Danio rerio: one gene and its partners. The protein of the gene in region 2 purifies or fractionates together with the protein of the main gene of each other region. This does not show direct contact. Links are inferred from orthologs where the notes say so. Each region holds a gene or a part of one and is shown on either strand. Other genes may lie near its edges. The genes, in order: clk2a, pnn and ncbp3.

What was found.
Region 1: the proteins of pnn (region 2) and clk2a purify together in Homo sapiens (affinity purification with mass spectrometry; 3 studies listed by BioGRID and IntAct, counting the BioPlex papers as one, with this or other methods). This does not show direct contact. The link is inferred for Danio rerio from reciprocal best matches to the Homo sapiens genes PNN and CLK2.
Region 3: the proteins of pnn (region 2) and ncbp3 purify together in Homo sapiens (co-immunoprecipitation; 3 studies listed by BioGRID and IntAct, counting the BioPlex papers as one, with this or other methods). This does not show direct contact. The link is inferred for Danio rerio from reciprocal best matches to the Homo sapiens genes PNN and NCBP3.

Annotation. Positions count from the first base shown.
Region 1 is NC_133194.1:10,209,510-10,213,773, forward strand, and holds the start of clk2a (dual specificity protein kinase CLK2), read left to right. Parts: upstream 1-1,410; 5' UTR 1,411-1,523; intron 1,524-3,298; exon of another isoform or gene 3,299-3,589; intron 3,590-3,722; exon of another isoform or gene 3,723-4,085; coding exon 4,086-4,264. UniProt on the Homo sapiens protein: Dual specificity kinase acting on both serine/threonine and tyrosine-containing substrates. Phosphorylates serine- and arginine-rich (SR) proteins of the spliceosomal complex.
Region 2 is NC_133192.1:14,303,166-14,307,465, forward strand, and holds the start of pnn (pinin), read left to right. Parts: upstream 1-1,378; 5' UTR 1,379-1,407; coding exon 1,408-1,520; exon of another isoform or gene 1,521-1,700; intron 1,701-2,445; exon of another isoform or gene 2,446-3,909; coding exon of another isoform or gene 3,910-3,944; coding exon 3,945-4,016; intron 4,017-4,094; coding exon 4,095-4,163; intron 4,164-4,259; coding exon 4,260-4,300. UniProt on the Homo sapiens protein: Transcriptional activator binding to the E-box 1 core sequence of the E-cadherin promoter gene; the core-binding sequence is 5'CAGGTG-3'. Capable of reversing CTBP1-mediated transcription repression.
Region 3 is NC_133196.1:33,663,141-33,666,792, reverse strand, and holds part of ncbp3 (nuclear cap-binding protein subunit 3), read left to right. Parts: coding exon 1-133; intron 134-246; coding exon 247-464; intron 465-3,450; coding exon 3,451-3,633; intron 3,634-3,652. UniProt on the Homo sapiens protein: Associates with NCBP1/CBP80 to form an alternative cap-binding complex (CBC) which plays a key role in mRNA export. NCBP3 serves as adapter protein linking the capped RNAs (m7GpppG-capped RNA) to NCBP1/CBP80.

The DNA of each region.
Region 1 (4,264 bases), on a different chromosome or scaffold from region 2:
AAACTATAGTTTAAAATAGACGATGAGTGGGCCTCGCTACTCCCACCCACCATAACCCTCGCAGCGAGGTCCCACTACCGGCCCCCCGTGTTTCCCTGAGGGTCCTCGGGGGTTGTTTGTTCCCTGCCTAGGGCTCAAAGGCCGCCTCGCCCCAGGGAGTGCACGAGAAAACCGGGCGCCAGGCCGTGCCAGTATTCACTGGATGTTGCTCGGCGGCACATTTCGAGCAACAAACACGTAATCTTCCTTGCGATATTGCGTTTATGTACGCAAACCACAAGGAACTACAGCACAGACGGGCCCGAGTGAAGCTTCACGAAGCGGACTTCGTGAGATTGGCGTGGCTCCACTCGTACCGTCGGTATTGAACTCACCTTGGTCAAGTACAAACAGCAACACCGAGCGAACTGACAACGCTGACAGAGAGCACACGAGCTTTATAGGAATGCAGATGCAAATTTTTACAAGGCACGTCACTGCTATCTCGTTGTCATGGCTAGCGCTGAAGAGGGCTCACCTGATTGGAGCACAGACTCGGGAATCTGCGTCACGGCGAGTTGCCGTCTGCCGTACACAAAAATATATTAAATATATTCAGTATATATATATTTTTACATTTTTGGTGCTGTGTAATATTCTGAGATGCAGCAAAATATGGAGACAGATGAATATAATTGGGTATATGCCGAGCTAGTGTTGTTCCCATATACTTATATACTTCCGGTGACCGGTTATTGTGAGTTTTTTTTTTTCAATTTTTTCCGGTTCCTTTTACAGCACTCATGTTGTAATGTAATTAAAATACATTCAGTTAAATAAACTTTGGCATTCATTTAGTTGTTCAAGCGTAAAACGAGACAAAAGGCCTTTTACTCGCACTCGCCCGTCAGAATCGGCAGGATAGCGCAGTCGCTCCAATGCTAATATTATAAAGACATGGCGGGGAAAATGTAATTTAATGCAGTGCTTCTAGTACAATCTGAGGCCCACTTCATATCTGATATCACTCAGCCAGTGGAGATCGCTGATTTTTAAAGAAAACAGACCTTAAAAACGTGCAGATTTTTCCGTTGGCATACAGTTCGCCGGAAGCGCTTAACCCAGGTTACTTGGGAAATTAAAAGTCCTATTAGCATGCTTCAGCATGTACCCTAAAATCCCAGAATGTCTTTCGAAAAAGAGTACGGGTTTAACCCCGGCATCCTGGCCAAATTTACCCACTGGCCTCTGTCCATCATGGCCTCCTAACCATCCCCATATCATAATTGGCTTTATTACTCTTTCTTCTCTCTCTGTGGTGTGCGGTCTGGTGGAATATGGAACTCATGAGACTGTTCATACTGTCCGAGTTGACGGTGAAAGTGATGCGCGCGCGCGTATAGGTATAAAGACGCGTCGGGAGGAGGGGCCGGAAGTGTTTTTTTCTTCACCGTTTAATAATTAGACTTGAGTGAGAATTTGGGATCCGAAGCGTCAACACGGATTTTCTTTGGGATAAACGGACAGGGCTGGCTGCACAAACGGTGATTACGAATCATTATTTCGCTGTCTGTCACTTTCCCCTTCAAATATTCAGGAGCGTTTTAGAGAAACGGTCCGTTGAAGATTAGAAGATCTCAAAATGGCCGTCGACGAGGATAGCAGCTAACTCTGCTAAAAAAACATCACATTTAGCTGCCGTTTTCAAACGTTGCGACATCATCTTGTGCGTCGTGTTTGCACCAAAAACGACAGTTCACATTTATGCCATAGAGACGAGTGATACATGGCGACTTTACGTTAAATGAACGAGCATAAAAATAGCGATTAGAAATAACAAGTTAAGCCAGCGTTAGTTGGTTAGCTTACCTTGTCTTTACAGCAGTTTTCAGTCATAATTCGCTGGACACACTTCTACATGTTATTACACTTCTGTTTTTTTTTAAGACATCGTTATTTCACAGTTAAAAGCATTTGCGTGTTACCGCTGTGTCTGTGGTTTTTTGGCTAAATATAGAAGTGTGCTCTAATAACTGGGACTTGATCTAGTTTGCGGCTAATTTCACAGGCAAACGCAGCATTTCAAAGTGCTGTAAGTTAACGTTATGTCATCTAGCTTTCAGATTATTTGTTTGAATTCTTCGTTTCAAATCCTCTTCTGGTTCGGCTAAATGTTTATTTTTTAAATCTAATTAATTTTGATTTTTTTAACTCAAAATTATTTTCTATTGCTTTACTATATTATTTATATATATATATATATATATATATATATATATATATATATATATATATATATTATATTATATTATATATGTTTACTAATGTGTATAAAGATCCTGATAAAATCTAAAACTGGTCTGTATAATATTTTTGATGTGTAGTATTCAATGTTTTGCAGACCTGAGGCGTCTTTTTTTCAGTTTTTAAGCACTGCATGGCAGTAACAAAGTGCCATCCATGCAAAAAATATAAATATAAAAAACAATATAAATAGTAATGTGGTGTTTTTCATTCTCATGCTAATGTCTAAGCCTGTGCCAAGTGTCGTCTTAACACCTGCTTTATCATGTCCCAAATAACTCCCCACAAATGTCACACTTGTCCTAAATTCAATAATAGTGAAAATAAAATACAGAAGATACCTCCCCACGCCCCCATGTCTATTGTTTCTGTTAAAAAGTTTTTCATTAATTCATTTTCTTGTCTGCTTAGTCCCTTTATTAATCCGGGGTCGCCACAGCGGAATGAACCGCCAAATTATCCAGCAAGTTTTTACGCAGCGAATGCCCTTCCAGCCACAACCCATCTCTGGGAAACATCCACACACACATTCACACACACACACACACTCATACACTACGAACAGAAACGCCAGCTGAGCCGAGGCTCGAACCAGCGAACTTCTTGCTGTGAGGCAACAGCACTACCTACTGCGCCACTGCTTCACCCTGTTAAAAGGCTAGGTTACCCCAAATTGAGAATCCTGTTATCGTTTACTTCTCCAAACCTGTTTGACTTTCCTCTGTTGAACACAAAAGAAAATATTTTGAAGACAGATAAAAACCTGTAACCCTTTACTTTCATTGTACTTGTGTTTCCTGCTATGCAAGTCAGTGGTCACAGGTTTTCAGCTTTTTTTTCAACAGTGGAAACTCATAAAAACCACTTAAGTGTGAGTAAATGTACATTTTTCTGATCTCTTTAATGACAGGGCTAGATAATTTGTTAGATATCAGTTTGAAAAAATAGAATTAGTAATAATAATTAGTTGAAAATTATTTTTTATTTAAAAAAAGTTCGGAATTGATGAGACGTCGCATTTTGGTGTTTACAACAATTAATCTAAATCTTTCTTGTTTTACTCATATATTGACGTTCTATCGTAACTGATATATTGATTTAAATAAAAATAAAAAAAACATTATGCTTGTTCTTATCTGTACTTATGGAAAATTGTAATTTAGGTATTATACAAAAGTTTATATTTTAAGTGATTTTTTTTATTTGACATGGTTGAAATAAAACAAATTACATTTTTAATACATCCTCATCCTGTATACACAAAGTTTTATGCATGTAATGTGCATATGGGCATTTTCACGAACAGGTAATGATTTATTAAAAGTTTCGTACAAAAATTAATTCTAAATCTATGAAGAAAAAACAAAAAATTAAGAACAACTTTTACCACTGGTATGTAACACAGCACTGCCTTTAGTATACAATGTTTGTTCCATTAGGTGCACAAAGTTCTCCAGAATGGTTCGGTAGTCCTTGGCAGTAACAGGCCCATCTAGCATGAGTATTGGGCATAGGGAATGCCATGACATTGCAGCCCAAACCATCACTGATCCACCCCATGCTTCACTCTGAGCATGCAGCAGTCTGGGTGGTGCACTTCTTTGGGGCTTCTCCACTCTGTAACTCTCTTGGATGTGGGAAAGAGAGTGATGATGGACTCATCAGAGAAAAATACATTTTCACATTGTCCACAGCTCAAAAGATTTTTGCTGTTGCAACTATTTAAATGCTTGTTTTACTTTTTTCTTTTGATTTTTTTTGAAAAAATTTATTAGTATTTTTTCCTTCTTCAACTCAAGCAGATGCCACACTCCAGGCGGTATCCGTCCTCGGAGAGGGCCAGCCGCAGCAGCTACCAAGATCGATATAGAGAGCGGGACAGAGACAGAGATCGAGGAAGAAAACCTCGACATCGCCGCTCTCCAACCTATTCTTCCAGCAGTGAACGTGAGAGGAGAGCGAGAGGACACAGACAGGACAC
Region 2 (4,300 bases):
CATTCTAAGTCGATCTGTCTGTTTTGTATGTTGTAGTGCTGTATTTATACCATAATAATTGTGTGTTGTGTGTGAGATGGGACCCACATATCAGGAATGTATGTATTTTCTGATGGCCACTTTGTATAACCCTGAGTTACTTTTTGGTTGACCATATGTTTGTTTCTAGGTGTCTCTTGCATTTGTTACTGCAGACTAGTTCAGTAAAATGAAAGAAGTGCCTGCATGTGTTTAGCATTTTTCCTTATCGCAAACACAACAGTAATTTGATTAGTAATCTAAATCTTTGGCTTTTTGAGGATTATTGTGATCTACCGATTGCAACAGAGAAATACTGGGGAATCTCTGTAGACTGATGACATTTCATGCCGTTCAGCCTTATAATCTTAAAATGTGAGCAAAATCTGTTTTGTCTTCACTCCAGATATTATGCTAGAGAATCATTAAGTTCTAGCTCTAAAGTGACGTTGGTGAATTAACTGTTGTATAAATGCAATATAACACTTGTAGCAGGCTGTATATCGTCACTGGTGGGACACATCGCACGCCTCCCACCAGTGCCAATATACAGCCACATCACACTGCTACTTGTGTGATATTGCTCATATATAATATTTATTCAGAAGGAGTAAAATTTAAAAAGAAAAGTTATCGTTATAAAGGTCATGTATTCTTAACCAAGTTGGCAAATAAATAGGCCATCAGTAGTTGTAGTTGAAGCTGTTATAAATAATGGAAACCATATAAAGCCATAGGCTATAATGCCATTTTATAGTGTTTCTCGAAAAGCCTATTTTTGTATTTAAAATAATTATTATAAGTCAAAAAAATCAAGAGAAATGCTTCCATGTTGTAGGTAATTGTTATCATCAGACATTTAGGAAAATTTCACATAAAAATCTTGTGTAACAATGTTGTAATGTTATGATGAAAGCTAAAAATGTATCTCTGAGGGTGAAATAACGTTATACGGCTGAATTTCACTCCCTGAAGGTAACTTAATACTAGAAGGGATACAGTCGTGGCGATAAGTTAACGAGAATTATTTATATTATTTGTTTATTCCCATTAATTGTATTTTATTAATGTCTACCGCTTTCCCAACCTCAAACACAACCCTCACAGTAATGTAAAAACAGCAAGTATAATGAGAAATATTCATATCATTTTTTAATCACTCATTAAAATGTATTTTTGTCTAACCCATCCTAAACCCAGTCCTCGCAGTAATGTTAAAATATTGTTGTACAGTGTGCAAAATTACGCAATGTTGATGCGGGTATCAAGTTTACCCATACTTCTATCAAACAGACAGGCACCGCCCGCCCACGTGATCACGGCTACGCGCCTACATTGAGCCGTGCGCGCTCGCGACACCACACGCGCTGCTTGAAGACGGAGAGCAAGATGGCGGTGGCCGTGCGAAGTTTGCAAGACCAGCTCGAAAAAGCCAAGGAAGGCTTAAAGAGCGTGGACGAGAATATTCGAAAACTAACCGGCAGAGATCCGGGTGAATTAAGGTATTGCTTAATGAACGCGTTTTAATCATTAACGAATTTGTTGTGGAGAAATTAGTCCAGGGCCTGATAGCAAGCTAATATTGCGGCTAGCTCACAAGCTAAATGAGAGCACATGTGTCCAATTCGATATTGATAAGTGCTATTTATTTTGAATCACCCAGGTCTTTATAAATTTGTATGGTGGACATCCAGGAGCGGGCTTATGTTTGAGAAAACAATGACACTCCTCATAAAATCAGGTCTTAGCTCTGCACGATGAGGGCTGTTTTCTGAATCTACGTTTAGTAACTTGTTTAAAAGCTTGAAAACAATGTTTTAGTTTTAAAAGTATAAGTTAAAACGAGCATATATGAACTTCCTGTTTCGTTTTGAATGGGAAGAGTTGTGGTCTTTCCTCAAGAGCTTTGCACTGAACATTATAATAGATCTGTTGCATTATCTTTTGTCCCCTATGAGCCTTGATGTGCTCAAGAAACGGGTTTATTTTCTTGTAAAACCGGATGTTTGTATGGGACAGGCTTGTTTATTTTTCAACGATCATATGTTTTTGATACATGTCAGGTGGCATAAAAGGGATGGGCCATTGTCATTCTAGACCAGGGGTGCCCAAAGTTGTTGTTTTTTTGTTTTTTTGTATGAAGGGCCAAAAAGCAAATATGATCGAGATAAACATACCTAGCCAAACTATATTACATTAAAGTTGCCATGGGAAATTTTCACAATTTATTTCTTAATATTTTTAAATAAATTGAAAACATTACTTTTAATCAGGGGTGTCCAAACTTGGTCCTGGAGGGCCGGTGTCCTGCATATTTTAGTTCCAACTGCAATTAAACACGCCTGAACTAGGAAATCAAGCTATTTCTAGGTATACCAGAAACCTTCAGGCAGGTGTTTTGTAGGAAGTTGGAGCTAAACTAAGCAGGACACCGGCCCTCCAAGACCGAGTTTGAACACCCCTGCTGTAAATTGTATTAACTAATGCAGTATAATCAAGTCGAAGGCAGATTCTGCTTGACTTGTGTATTCAGCATTGAACTCCACTGTTACAAATATGATTGTTTATATTTTATTGCAATAAGTTATCATTTAAAAGTTGTATTTGCTCACCACCTGGATTGTCATGTGACAATATGTTCATTTAAACTAAGTCTAATTCATTTACAACATTTAATTAAAACATTTACAGTTAGCTTTTAACAATAAAACAAACAAAAACAGGGTAACATTAAATGTTAATTGACAATCTCAAAACCATCTTCATTTCTCCCTCTCTTCTTAGGCCCCGTTTACACTAATACGTTTTAGTTTGAAAACACATGAGTTTTGGAACGGTTACGCCTGAAGACGCAGTTTTAGTTTGAAAACGCTGCTGCTCCATCTCACTATGGATGGGGGAAAACGGAGATATCTGAAAACGGAGACGTGGCTGCAGATTTTCCCTCAATATTAAGTAGCCTACACAGTTCAGTCTTGCATCTTCTCCTTGTAAGTTCAGACTTCGCAAGCTTGATATGGAAAACAAACTCCCAAGGACACGTCGGGTAAATCTTCAGGGAACAGCGTACTTTAAAACCTCATTCACATCACCTCGGCTATATTGTTTTACTTTCTTAGCAATAAAAATGAAAACATTATTTAAAGAACTGCCTATTTTCATTTTGGTATTAGCAACAGCTACTAATTAACAGCCACCAAAAATGTTGAGACGTCATGTGGCTACATATTTATATGACCATCATCTTTACTGTATGCATAACAAAACGAAGCCTATAACATAACTGCCTCCATTTTCATTGAAAATGCCAAACATACCCTGTCTCCTTTGTTGAATAAGTTTTAATAATCAAATAATCAACAATGGCCATTATAAATGTGTAACGTACAATAAGTTTACATTATGGGAAATAAATGCAATCAATCAGTCAAATGTGCAGAATCCGTGTTTGTGGTTATGTTAATTAATATATGAACTTGTCTTTGCGCTCAGCCAAAACACAACTTGAGAACAAGTAATAATTCAAAAGACCGAAGTCAGGGAATATGTTGTTAGATATAGACAAAGTTAATTAAATACAATACATCCACATGTGCTGTGTGTGTGCGCGTGTGTATGCGAGTGTGTGTGTTTGTGTTTGTGTTAGTCCTTAAAAAAAAAAAACACGTAAAAGAACTGTACATATACCGTAGGAACGGTATAGCAGAAAATTCTTGCGGTTTTTAAACCGCTGTAAACCTTGAAACCAATTACAGTGAAATTGATTGACTACTATACAGTGAAATTGATTGACATGGTTTTAACTAACCAGCTGTGAGGTGAATAACATTAAAGCAAACACTGCATTGAGCAGTGTAATGCATCATACAGTCGTGATTGGTATTTCAATGTATGATTATTAACCGTGTATCTATTGCCTTTTTCAGACCGGGTCAGAATAGAAGACTGACCATCCCAGGCCCAGGAGGAGGTAGGGGGCGTGGAATCAATTTGCTGAGGTAAGAATCTGTTCGTACAAAGACGGACCCATGATCATACTAAATGCATGTTGTTTAACATCTGTAAATCTCTCTCAGGCGTGGACTCTCAGATAGCGGTGGAGGACCCCCAGCCAAACTGAGAGACATCGACGGGGCACTCTTGAGGTGAGGCATCCCTTGCCAAATTTCCACTTTCTGGGTATTTTATGAAATAAGTAAATTGCCATTTTATTGCATGCTATTTACAAATGTCTGTACTAGGCTGGCAGGGGATCAGCGAGCCAGGAGAGATTCACGCCATG
Region 3 (3,652 bases), on a different chromosome or scaffold from region 2:
CGCCTACATCTTCAGATTCAGATGAGATGGACTACGATCTGGAACTGAAAATGATCTCAACACCCTCCCCCAAAAAGAGCATGAAGATGACCATGTACGCAGACGAGGTCGAAACCAACCTTCGCAGTCTTCGGTGAGTGCAGGTTTCTTATAGAGGCCAGTTTTATCCCAGTTTCTATCCCATTGGCTGATCCAGTTTGAACGTCTTAATGATAATTTCTTTCTTTGTCTCTTCCACTTTCCCAGGAATTCAATACGGACTGAATCCAGTGGCAGTGTTAAAAGTCGCATTGGTGGTGGAGGTGGAGGAGGAAGTGGAGGTGCAGTAGAGGAACGAGGAGAAGGAGGTTCATCCAAATCTACATCAGAGAAAGTAACAGATGTGAGGCAGTTACTGGAGGAGAAGAGGCAGGGACTTTCTCAACAGAGATCACGCCCTCCAGTGGCCACAAGCGGCAAGACCGGTTAGTTATTAAGAGAGCTTTTTTTGTTGTTTATTATTATTTAAAAGGATGGTTCACCCAAAAAGGCTCGATTCAAATCATTTTGAGTTTATTTGTTCTGTTAAAATACTCAAAATAGGTTATTTTGATTGTTGAAAACGTATTCATCAATTTCCATATTGGAATTTCCTTCCATGGATGTCAACAGGACTTTTTTTTTCACACTGTGCTTAACCCCTTCTAAACACAGCTTTCAAATCTGGGTAAAGACATGTTTTATACCTAATTTAAAATTTAAAAATGTTATTAGCACAACTTTTTACCAAGGGTTATAAAACACTGCTCAACAACAAATTTGCTGTATTAAGGTTGATTTATACTTCTGCGTCGAGTGATCGCCATGAACCATGCTGCCTGCTTTGCGTGTAGGAGTGCATTGAATCTTCTTCTTCTTTTGTGTTACTTTGCTAGCTGGCAGTAGGTTTTTATGTTCCTCTTTGTCGAGGTTTGTCGTGAGTTTTTTTGTTTTTCTGAACGCTACCTTAATGTACAAGTAGCTCGAACTGGCTCAGCCGGCGAACTTTAATCATAAGGTAAACACAAAAAAAGTTTTCATCTGGAGCTCCTTCATGGGACTCAACACTTGTAAACACTTGTTACAGCTACCAAGCCAACCAATCACAGCTTGCGCTACGTGTCTTGTAGTTAAATTTTTTAATTGATTTTGTTACATTTTTTTTTTAATGCGACCCTGCAAAGGCTGCTACGGACCATATGCATGTGCTTGACTCTGAAGTAGAAATCAGCCTTTAGGGGCTGTTCACATAACACATCTAAAAGTGTGTGGAAGATGCAAGCATGTCGCTTCGTTTACCATTTTCAATGCACTTTGCGATCGCACACTTTTGTCGTTTGTCATTGCTAGGTGACCATAAACTGTTTTTTTTTGTTTGTTTGTTTTTTTTTTTTTTTTATTCAAGATGATGACAAACTTACAAAACGTTGCGGCTTTGATACAAGTTTTATTTATGGAGAAAATAAAAAGCACTGCAGTGTTTGGCTTTTCTATGTTTGTCTAAAGTAATTAGTCTACCAAAATGTGTTTATTCCATAGAAAGTATGAAGATGATTGGTCAGTCCTAAAAAAATTGAGATGTTTTCAACTAGGTGCGCCTGGAAAACGTGTGCGAGTCCTGCTATGTGCGCATCGCTCCCAAAATGCGCATAAATACTTTCATTGAAATAGCAAACTTGCAAACAAGCAAAAGGCGCGATATGTGAACAGCTTCTTAACCCTGCATTCTGGTGCTAACATTTTTCTGTGGGAAACAAAATGGTGTTTGTTTGTTTGTTTGCTGCTGGAGGCTTGGCAATCAAAAACTAAGCAGTCTGTGAATGAATGAATGAATGAATGTACTTTTGTCTTTATTTTCTTCTCTTTTGCATCTCGTGAAGCTTAACTAAACATCTACGCAGCAACCATTTTATATAGATATTTATGTTTATATAACTGATTACTGTTGTGCTGAGCTTTTTTGCACAATGCATTTTCCTTGTAAATGTGATACATTTTCTTTGTTTTTCCACTGTAAACATGTCCTGGATGGTCATGTAATCATTGCTCATGTTTTATATGTAATTTTAAAAGGATTTAGCCATTTTTAAGATTATAAAACTCGGTGTAAACCATAATAACACGGTGAAATGATGGTAACATTCAAAACTTTTCCTTGAATGTTCACTAAGTAATGAAAAGTTGCTGATAAAAGGTTTTAGTTTTTACAATATGAACGGGGATCCCACGCTTTTTGAAAGTACTTGAATTTCAGACATTTTTCAGGACTGGAAAGTACTTAAAAACAAACATGAGTCCTTGAAAGTGCTTGAATTATATTTGAAATGAAATCTGTTTATGGTGTTATTTCAACAACTCTACTGTGCTGCTGTCAAAAACAGAACAAAACAAATCTTCAATTAAATTTTTTTATTTAAACTGTTCAAGAACGATGACAAGTAATGTGCATTTTATCAATATTTCACAATCAGTGTTTGAATATTACTAGTGAATTCAACCATGTTTAAGTTCTTTGACCATGGCTGTTTAAAAAAAAAACATTTCAGTTTAATTTCTACATTTTTAAAAATGACATTCACAACATAATCATTACTCAACATTTCAGATACACTTTATATTTACATTAAAGATGTCAAAGTACAGTGTAGGCATGGGATGAGAACCTGTTTCAAGGTTTACCACGATTTGGAAAAGTCAAGGTTTTAAAACCATTAACGTTTTCTGTTATACCATTGCTAAGGTACAGTTAGGTCCATAAATATTTGGACATCAACACAATTCTAACATTTTTGGCACCATACACCAACACAATGGATTTGAAATTAAAAGAAGATGTGCTTTAACTGCAGACTGTCAGCTTTAAGTTGAGGGTATTTACATCCAAATCAGGTGAATGATGTAGGAATTATAACAGTTTGCATATTTGCCTCCCACTTGTAAAGGGACCAAAAGTAATTGGAGAGAATAATAATTCCAAATAAAAATTAATTTTAAATACTTGGTTGCAAATTATTTGCATGAAGTCTGGAACGTATAGACATCACCATACGCTGGGTTTCATTGTTTTTTTTTTCCCCAGGCATTTAAAAAGAACTTATTGTAGAGTAATAATCACAATACCTTGATACCATGACTACATGATATTTTTGTTCAAGGTTATCATACCGTCAGAAACATATACCGGCCCATGCCTAGTACAGTGAGGACTTTCATGTCGCTGCATAAGCAGGCGTTGTAAATTACAAAAATTATTGATTTTAAAATTAAATATGCTTTAAAATGTCCTTAAACCTGCTTGTCATGGAAAAAGTGGAAACCATAATGAAAAATTGGGCCAGGAAAATAGTATACAGGCTTTGAATTGTTATCAGTTTTCATCATGAGCAAATGTGGAAGAGACTCACCTGTTTTTTGTTTTTTTCCTCTCCACAGATGTGAGACAGAGATTAGGCAAGAGACCACACTCCCCAGAGAGGCGTCGCTCTGTGTCTCCTGTGATCTCCAGAAAGACGGCGTCTCGGAGAGAGCCTTTGAGCGACGTACGCAGCAGACTCGGTGTAGCTAAACATGACAATCGCAGTCTCTTCTCTGAACCCCCCAAAGACAAGAAAACAGGTACACCTCAATTCAGCAC